3 linked regions of the Saccharomyces cerevisiae S288C genome follow. The protein of the gene in region 1 purifies or fractionates together with the protein of each later gene. This does not show direct contact. Each region holds a gene or a part of one and is shown in the gene's direction. Other genes may lie near its edges.

Region 1 (2,972 bases):
AAAGTCCCTTAACGGGGACTCCTCTAGTTTATCTACTGTATTGAGGCCAATGAAATGACCTGGAAGTTCTGTATGTCTTTCTGAGTAGTTTGTAATTTCGTACTCCATCTTCTGTGGAGAAGACTCGAATAAGCTTTCTTCGCTCATGGTAGAAACTTGATTTTTTCTAATTTTCTGCGCTGTTTCGGGAACGGAAAAAAATTAAGCTAGAAGACGAATCGGTTATTATACTATTATATTTGTATAGTATAGTAGCGTGTCGTATCGTATCGTGTCGTATCGTATCGTATCGTTAAAAGAAAATACACGAATAAATAATAATATGTGGAGAAGAAAAAGGGAAGTTTCTTGTCTCTTGCTCTGAATCTGAATTCCAATTCAAGTTCAAATTGTTCTCTAGTTTATTGTCCAAAAATAAGGATGAAGCGGGAGGGAAGGGCAGAGGGAAAAGTTCGTATAGTAGAATGAATAAACTTTTATAAACACATGCACCGATCACTCACAGAGGATAAAAAAATGGCACAACAAATATATATATATAGATGCAAATGGCGATTGCAAATTAGGGAATTGGCTTTGTTGTTTTTTATCTTCAGGTAAACTGTACGAAAGGGATAAAAAGAGTAGAATAAGGAAAGGAAAATTGAAGAGAGCAGAACAATTGTAGAACCGATAACAATTGTGACAGTGATTGTGCTAGGCTATACTGTGCCAGAATACGACTGGGAGTGCTGTTCTTCTTATATATCTTGGCGCTGATTGAGCGTATAGCCTAGTTCACCAAGCAGTAGAGAGAGTGGCAATGAGCGGTTGAATTTCGACTGCGACTTGTTGGCACAACGCGCGCGCGGCCGGGCCATGTGAAGATTTTAACGGGCGCAACGATTCGGTGGGCAGTGGAAATTGTTGGGCGTTGTTCAACAAGATGAAGCATTCCCCTTTGGATAACGTCAACGCATATCGGGCCAACCTACAGGCAATGAGCGAAAGCGACTGAAGCCGAGAGATGTGCCCGGAGTTTGTTGTTCTTGTTCTTGTTCTTGTTCTTGTTCTTCTTGACGGATGATACTAGTCGCAGTCGTGGTGACTCTGGAGGGCGTAACGGCCGTGATGCGGCCTGAGCTCACTGTGACGTCGATGCATGCGCGGGTTCGTTGCGTTCAGGCCTGACGGGCGATTCCCCACCAAGTATAAGTGTCATGATATACGCGGCACCTGAGCAGCACATTAGGTCCCAATTCAACCCAACATATATAATGGTTCTGTATGGGTATTTTAAGTGTGCAAACAAAATGTGAGTTACCCGGCTGTTTGCTAGTCGCTGCGTACGAACTGGCTTGCTAAAGCTGGGTAAAAATAATTTAATCGCAAAAGGAAGAAAAGGAAATCGACGATTCATTGAAAAAAAGAGAAAATACTGAAAAAAAAAAGACACCGACAAAAAAAAGAGAGAAAGGAACCTTTACGTAGAGCAAAAGGGAAACATTTGTTGCGTTTAATTAATAGAAATAATAGGTTATTGCATTCGCCCTCCATTGCAGAAAAAAAAAAAAAAAAGACCATTTTCCTCTTCTACTCTCTTTGCCTGTACATACTACACGTTATAGCGTTAACAAAAGCAGATAGAAAAAAAAAAAATAACCAAGATAATATAGGTATACTTGTTTAACAGATCACACACAATCATGTCGTGGCTTTTTGGAGATAAGACACCTACCGATGATGCGAATGCTGCCGTGGGCGGCCAAGATACAACCAAGCCTAAGGAACTATCGTTGAAGCAGAGTTTAGGTTTCGAGCCAAACATCAATAACATAATATCAGGTCCTGGTGGAATGCATGTCGACACCGCTAGGCTGCATCCTTTGGCTGGTCTAGACAAGGGTGTGGAGTATTTAGATCTGGAAGAAGAACAACTATCCTCGTTAGAAGGCTCACAGGGTCTGATCCCTTCCCGTGGGTGGACCGATGACCTATGTTACGGTACCGGTGCCGTCTACCTGCTGGGACTTGGTATCGGAGGGTTTTCTGGTATGATGCAGGGTCTGCAGAATATTCCGCCCAATAGTCCCGGAAAATTGCAATTGAACACCGTCCTGAATCACATTACTAAGAGAGGTCCCTTCTTAGGTAATAATGCGGGGATTCTCGCGTTGAGCTACAATATCATCAATTCTACAATAGATGCACTAAGAGGCAAACATGACACCGCGGGCTCCATTGGCGCTGGGGCCCTCACGGGCGCTTTGTTCAAGTCTTCAAAAGGTTTGAAACCCATGGGTTATTCCTCGGCAATGGTGGCCGCTGCGTGCGCCGTCTGGTGTAGTGTCAAGAAAAGACTACTTGAAAAATGAGCAACACAAGAACCTACTCTCTCTCTCTCTTTCTCTCTCTCTCTCCCTCTTCGCTTTTCCCCCATGCACTGATGGCGCTTGTATATAGCATTTGAAAAATAATAGTACGTAACGCAGAAAACAAACCAATGAAAGTAGAAACCCGGAGAAAAGATCTAAAAAAACAAAAAAAAAAGATGGAAAGAGCGCATGTATGTGTAGATATGTACATATATACAACTACTTGTATGTTATTTGCCTTTTGTACTGTTAAGCTATTGTTTTCGATGGCCAATTAAAGTAAAACAAACCGCTCACTCTCGGGTATTTCCCGAAACTGTCAGAGCCGTCCCGGCCCACCGATTCGCCCGGCAAGACCTGCTTGGAAGCAGCACAAAGCCCTGCGGCCTCTGTACACCTCACGCTAAATAGCTGCTAACGATCAACACCTGACCGAGATAACAGCAGCAAAGAACCCGCAAAAAACTGCGCCGTCTAGGCCTCAACCCTTGCTTCCTACAACCAAACAATGGTAAAATATACAAAAAAAAGAAAAGAATGCTCTTTCTTATTTCCCTTTTAACCTAACCATCTTTTGTTTTTTGTCGTTTAACCTGGAAAGAATGTTCTATTATATAA
Region 2 (2,918 bases), on another chromosome or scaffold:
ACGTGTGATTTACCTGTGCATGTGGCGTCGTCAAGCAAATCCTCCCTGCTAATAAAATCAAAGGAGATAATTTCTTCGCCATCGGTGGCATAAAATCTTTCGACTATTCCTTCTCTGAAGTCAAAGGAGTAAATTGTCGTACATAACGTATGCAAATCACTATCATATGATATGTTTTTATTGCAAGTGTATAAAACACCCTCAAAGGAAGCATTTAACCAGCTGGAAGTTAATAAAGAAATAGTATCCAGTTTCGGAGCCACATTAGAGTCGTAGATAATTTCAAATTTGTTATTTTCGCATTTGAATCCCTTAATGGAACCGTCGTTAAACATTAGCAGGTGACAGAAGGAAGCTGACATGAACATCGGTACAGTTGCGTAGTTAACAACGAACGGTCCATCTAAAGCGAACTCAACCTTCGCTTTCAATTCGTTGGACGTTCCGGTATACAATCCATAGCTAAAACATAAAAAGTAACTTCCTTCGTGATGAAGACAACTTACCAGCTTCTCAGCCTCATCTTTTGATCTATAAGATGTTATGCATAAAGGTAAAAAGGCCGAATTGCTATCCAATTTTTTGCAGTCCGTTTCATCTTGTCTTGCCATTTTACGTGGCAATGGCTAGTGCAATATGCAATGCGCTAACGCTGACATTATAACACAATATATTTTTCTACCCTCCCTTTCGCTGAGTTGCGACCAGAATGTCTGTTTTTCAGTCATGTATTTCTTTCCGCTTTAGGCGTTCAGGCAAGCGCGTTCAGTTGAAAGCAAATAGAACCTATAACGACGAATACGCTTAAAGGAAGTATACAGGAAATAGAAAAAGAAGCGTACTGCATGTACTAAAAACCAAAAAAAACACCACATCGGCTCTCTGGTTGTATCCATACTTTCCCTAAAATTTTGTAACTCAAGAAAATACCTACATAAAACGATAATCAGTGGATTGCACTGATCAAGTCGAAAAACTCCGTACATGCCCGTCTATCCCTGTCTCATCCATATAAACTGAACTAGGTAGAAAAAAATACCTACCCTTTCTTTAACCGCCTGGTATATTAAATACCATTGTCAATTGAGAAGCTAACAGCCATTGTAAGAGTTATGTCCAGTGTCCGACTAAGACAAGGTAACCATACGTTGATAGCTATGAATACCCCAGAGGAAGATTATTCTTTCTCATAAATCCTTTTTATTGGTTTCAAAAATCCACCAATAAGTTCATATAGCTTGGGCGGCTATTCATGCGTAATATAATGTGCATGAAGTACGACCCATCGACTCTTAGAGCAAATGCTTCCTAAATTGAAATAACTAGCCGCCTTTAATTCGAGCCTTCTTGTCATCTTGTGTATTTCATCCTTTCAACTTCTCCTGTTCCACCTTTCACTCTAAGCTTCCCTATCATTTGGCCTCTTTCAGGTTCGTCCATAGCGCATCTTTTTCCTTTTAGACACTCCATAACGGACCAATCAGCGTTTTGCGCCATTTATCGGTCTTGGGTCACGTGCGGCGACGCGGAGGCTCCCTTATAAGGACTGGAAAAAGACCTGCAAGAACTATAGTTGGTTCTTGAATATCAAGTAATATATTACTTCTCTGTCGTAACTTTTTGTTGCTTTCAAGTTCAACGTCTTTTAAAAACCAAGAAATTATTGAACATAAATAATATCACTCTAACACTTATTAGGAAACCGAAAGGAGCAATAACAAACATGTTAGGAATAAGATCATCTGTCAAGACCTGCTTCAAGCCAATGTCTTTAACTTCCAAAAGACTGATTTCTCAATCTTTGCTGGCTAGCAAATCCACGTACAGGACCCCAAATTTTGATGACGTTTTAAAGGAAAATAACGATGCTGATAAAGGCCGTTCTTATGCTTACTTTATGGTCGGTGCTATGGGTCTTTTGTCATCTGCAGGTGCCAAATCAACCGTAGAAACCTTTATTTCATCTATGACCGCTACTGCCGATGTTTTGGCTATGGCTAAAGTTGAAGTTAATTTAGCGGCTATCCCATTGGGTAAAAACGTGGTTGTCAAATGGCAAGGTAAGCCTGTGTTCATTAGACACAGAACTCCTCATGAAATTCAGGAAGCCAACAGTGTGGATATGTCCGCTTTGAAGGACCCACAGACCGATGCTGACAGAGTCAAAGACCCTCAATGGTTAATTATGCTGGGTATTTGTACTCACTTAGGTTGTGTTCCAATTGGTGAAGCCGGTGATTTTGGTGGTTGGTTCTGTCCTTGCCATGGTTCACATTATGATATTTCCGGTAGAATCAGAAAGGGACCTGCCCCCTTAAACTTAGAAATTCCTGCTTATGAATTCGATGGTGATAAGGTCATTGTTGGTTAGGTTTGTTTTTCGTCCTCGAAAACTACATCTTTATTGTCTATTTGTTTCACCCTTATTTTGATTTTTCATTTACTATCCATTATGTTATGAACGGGAACTATACAACTAACCTAAGAATTTTGAAATCACAACAAAAATAATCAACATCACAGTCTCGAAGGGATTACGCTCAAAAAGGAACGAAAATCACTATACTGTATTCCCTGTTGATTTTCCTAAGAATATATTCTTATACAATATGGAGAAAACAAAAGGATAAGAAAAGAAAGGGGAAATAAAGAAGATTTGGACCTATTTATTACTACTTTTTTGTCTCACCATCTTCTTTTTCTATTCATAATATTTGATATTCCTTTATTTATCTGCATGTATTTATAATTAACGAAACTATTTATCTTCCCTCGTCCTGCCTTATCCTTCTTTTCTCCAAATGTTTTACCTAAGATTGGCCTGTATTTGAATATTGATGTCCAGAAGCAGAAGATTTCACATGTTGTATAAAGTATACAAGATTGTAAAAATGATTGAAGTATTTTTATATATGTAT
Region 3 (3,761 bases), on another chromosome or scaffold:
GGTGATGCACTAGTTAGTAATAATGATACAACAACAATGAGAAAAAAAAAATAGGATGCAGATGTGAATATGATAATGCAAAACGAAGTTGTGTTATTTCCTTCATTTTAATTTATGCTGTGATAGGACAAGAATGAAATCTCGTTAATGGTACGGAACCATCGTCGACATCGCTACTACTCTCGTTTTCGCTGTCATCTTCTTGTCCATTTACCCGCCGAGAGAGCACACGGAAGATTGGCGCTGAACTATGCAAACTCACAGCATCGAGCGTTTCAGTGTCCTGTTCTTCCTCTGTCGTAGAGGCAGTGGCGGGAAGAGCATTGTAGCGCGGCGTTGATTCGGCAAGTTCATCCGTCTGCTCGGAATGAGAGTTTGTGTGAGTCAAATATTGATAATTAGGTGCGGTGTGAAAACTAAAGTACATGTCAATTTTCTTGTTATAATCACCGCCAGAGTAATCGTACTCAAAATCATAGTCTTCATAATCATCATCGTCTTCACTGTCAGTAGAAGATAGAGTGTCAGCATCTGGATCTTCGTCACTAGAGTAAAAATCACAGTAATCTTCACTTTCTATCGTCTTTTCTGCATTTTCCTCCTTACCGACGTCATTTTTACTAGCATTAGCATTGGACAATTCGATATGTTCGATGGACAAGTTTTCAGGTCCTTTACTGAAAGGGTCTCCGGCAAGGGCGTTGGTTGCAGCATTATGAGTTTCCACATTTTCTGTAATCTTATCCAGCAAGTTTGCGTGCCCGACTAAAACTCTCAGGTTGTAGTCTTTGTTTTTAGTAGTCACGCTAACGCATTTTGCCAGCTTGGAGCGTACTTTGCTGGCCAAAATATATTGATCTTGAATCGATGGGGTTGTAGAGTTCATTATAATCGCAGTATGCGGAATTTTCTATGTGAGAAAAACAATAAATAATTGTGAAAAAACTTGGATGTATAGTGTAATACTATAAAAAATTTCTGCTGGTATGTAGCTGTCTTTTTATTTTTTCTTTGGTCATACAGGGCTGTAAGCAGAGAAAGTCGAACAAAGACGTAACACCAGAGAAAGAAACTTGAATGCTTTTGTTAGATATATATATATATATTTATACATATGCCTCTCGCTAGAGGATATATCGCCGCGGAGCGCAGCGAACTACATCCGAAAACATCACAAATAATGCATGGGCAACCGGATACATTGCATTTAGTTTTGCCTTTTTTTCCAATTGTCACAGCTTCCTCGAAGTTTCTGACCCGGTAAAACGTGCGAAATGCCTCTTCTAATGCCGAAACAAGGGAAACCCTTAAAGCTTCCGTGCAAGCTGACCATGCCGGTCCGCACTTCGGGTCTTGTCCGTCGCCCGTGATCCAATAGGATACAACTACAAATCTGGGGTAAAGTCCGACTTTCGGCCCGCCGTGCGTTACTGCATGTTACATCACTATGGTGGGGACGGAAAATCACAGATGAGTCAGCTTCGTGATTTCCTGTTTCGGTGATGCTTGCAGTATACTTCAAATACTTCGCTTTACTTGGCAACCTTTTTTTTTGCCTCTCTAGCATTTCACCCATACCCACCAGGGGGAAAAAGAAAAGAGAGATTTTAAAACCAGATATTCTTTTTCACGATTTACATAACCCGGACTGGGTAGGGTAACATGTATATGAACTTTAACTGTGACCCGGACAGCACGCTTTCTGCACCAATGAAATGCCAATAAATTAACAGTGTTTTTTGTCCTCCAGAAGTTCAAGGGCCCGCGCTGTCAGCTGCACCAAATAAAAACCAAACAAGAAAATTAAAGGCCTACAGCGCTCCCTAACCGATATTCCCCTACTCTCTTTCCCCGTCTTATTCGAGGAAAACAGCGTATAATAAAGCAATAGCTTTCACAGAAAAAATATTATATCATCCCTGTTCGTATAGGTAACGAATCCTAATATTAAATTGCTACCATTGCTGATCAAGACAATTGTGGAGTAATAATACGAGAAGAACATCATCGTCACCATATCACTGAGAAAGAAAACACAAGATATATAAACAAAAAAAATGCTAAGAACAGTAACTTCAAAGACTGTATCTAACCAGTTCAAGAGGTCTTTGGCTACAGCTGTAGCAACCCCCAAGGCCGAAGTAACGCAATTATCTAACGGTATAGTTGTAGCCACTGAGCATAATCCTTCCGCTCACACAGCCTCTGTCGGTGTTGTCTTCGGCTCCGGTGCTGCCAACGAAAACCCTTATAACAACGGGGTTTCCAATTTATGGAAGAACATCTTTCTATCCAAAGAAAACTCTGCTGTTGCCGCCAAGGAAGGTTTGGCATTGTCTTCCAATATCTCCAGAGACTTCCAATCTTACATTGTATCTTCTTTGCCAGGTTCTACCGATAAATCACTAGACTTCTTGAATCAGTCTTTCATCCAACAAAAGGCTAATTTGCTATCTTCTTCTAACTTCGAGGCCACGAAGAAATCTGTCTTGAAGCAAGTTCAAGATTTTGAAGAAAACGACCATCCCAACAGAGTTTTGGAACATTTACACTCCACCGCCTTCCAAAACACTCCATTATCTTTGCCTACTAGAGGTACTTTGGAGTCCTTGGAGAATTTAGTTGTTGCTGATCTGGAATCTTTTGCCAATAACCATTTCTTGAATTCAAATGCTGTTGTTGTTGGTACCGGTAATATCAAACATGAGGATTTAGTAAATTCCATCGAATCCAAAAACCTAAGTTTGCAAACCGGTACCAAGCCCGTACTCAAGAAAAAGGCCGCTTTCTTGGGTTCCGAAGTTAGATTGAGAGACGACACCTTGCCAAAGGCGTGGATTTCGCTGGCTGTGGAAGGTGAACCTGTCAATTCACCAAATTATTTTGTTGCTAAATTAGCCGCCCAAATTTTCGGCTCATACAACGCCTTCGAACCCGCTTCTAGATTACAAGGTATCAAATTGTTAGACAACATACAGGAGTACCAATTATGCGACAATTTCAATCATTTCTCTCTTTCTTACAAAGATTCCGGTTTATGGGGGTTCTCTACGGCCACGAGAAACGTTACCATGATTGACGACCTCATCCATTTCACTTTGAAACAATGGAACAGATTGACCATTTCTGTCACTGATACTGAAGTTGAACGTGCCAAATCGCTGTTGAAATTACAATTAGGGCAGTTATACGAATCTGGTAATCCCGTCAATGACGCTAACTTGTTAGGCGCAGAAGTCCTAATCAAGGGCTCCAAACTGTCTCTGGGTGAGGCTTTCAAGAAAATTGATGCAATCACAGTCAAAGATGTTAAGGCTTGGGCCGGTAAGAGATTATGGGACCAAGATATTGCTATTGCTGGTACAGGCCAAATTGAAGGGTTATTAGATTACATGAGAATCAGAAGTGACATGTCCATGATGAGATGGTAAGATGTGTGATAATATATTTTCCATGCACATAAAATAGAAATAAGCAAGCTGCTAGATGTATACAGGCACGCTCGCACACTCACACCATAAATGAATTTTTTACATGTATTTTATATTCTAGTAACCCAAGTAGTCTTCATTATTTATTGGCAAGGTCACTGTTCCTTGCAAAAGTAGAAAATAAAAAAAGAAAAAAAAAGAAACTCGTAAGAAAACAAGATTAAATAAACGTCTTATTTTATATAAGTGTATATATATATATATATATATATGTGACCAAGATCCTGAAGAACTATCGATTTTAAAAATAAGAAAGATGAACTTTTTTTT

The links.
Region 2: the proteins of TIM23 (region 1) and RIP1 purify together in Saccharomyces cerevisiae (affinity purification with western blotting; 3 studies listed by BioGRID, with this or other methods). This does not show direct contact.
Region 3: the proteins of TIM23 (region 1) and COR1 purify together in Saccharomyces cerevisiae (affinity purification with western blotting; 6 studies listed by BioGRID, with this or other methods). This does not show direct contact.

The regions. Positions count from the first base shown.
Region 1 is NC_001146.8:661,228-664,199, forward strand, and holds TIM23 (protein transporter TIM23), read left to right. Parts: upstream 1-1,685; coding exon 1,686-2,354; downstream 2,355-2,972. Other genes in the region: acetyl-CoA carboxylase ACC1, read right to left, coding at 1-147. UniProt on the Saccharomyces cerevisiae protein: Essential component of the TIM23 complex, a complex that mediates the translocation of transit peptide-containing proteins across the mitochondrial inner membrane.
Region 2 is NC_001137.3:105,537-108,454, forward strand, and holds RIP1 (ubiquinol--cytochrome-c reductase catalytic subunit RIP1), read left to right. Parts: upstream 1-1,723; coding exon 1,724-2,371; downstream 2,372-2,918. Other genes in the region: YEL025C (uncharacterized protein), read right to left, coding at 1-611. UniProt on the Saccharomyces cerevisiae protein: Component of the ubiquinol-cytochrome c oxidoreductase, a multisubunit transmembrane complex that is part of the mitochondrial electron transport chain which drives oxidative phosphorylation.
Region 3 is NC_001134.8:133,813-137,573, reverse strand, and holds COR1 (ubiquinol--cytochrome-c reductase subunit COR1), read left to right. Parts: upstream 1-2,057; coding exon 2,058-3,431; downstream 3,432-3,761. Other genes in the region: ECM13 (Ecm13p), read right to left, coding at 113-886; YBL044W (uncharacterized protein), read right to left, coding at 1,208-1,576. UniProt on the Saccharomyces cerevisiae protein: Component of the ubiquinol-cytochrome c oxidoreductase, a multisubunit transmembrane complex that is part of the mitochondrial electron transport chain which drives oxidative phosphorylation.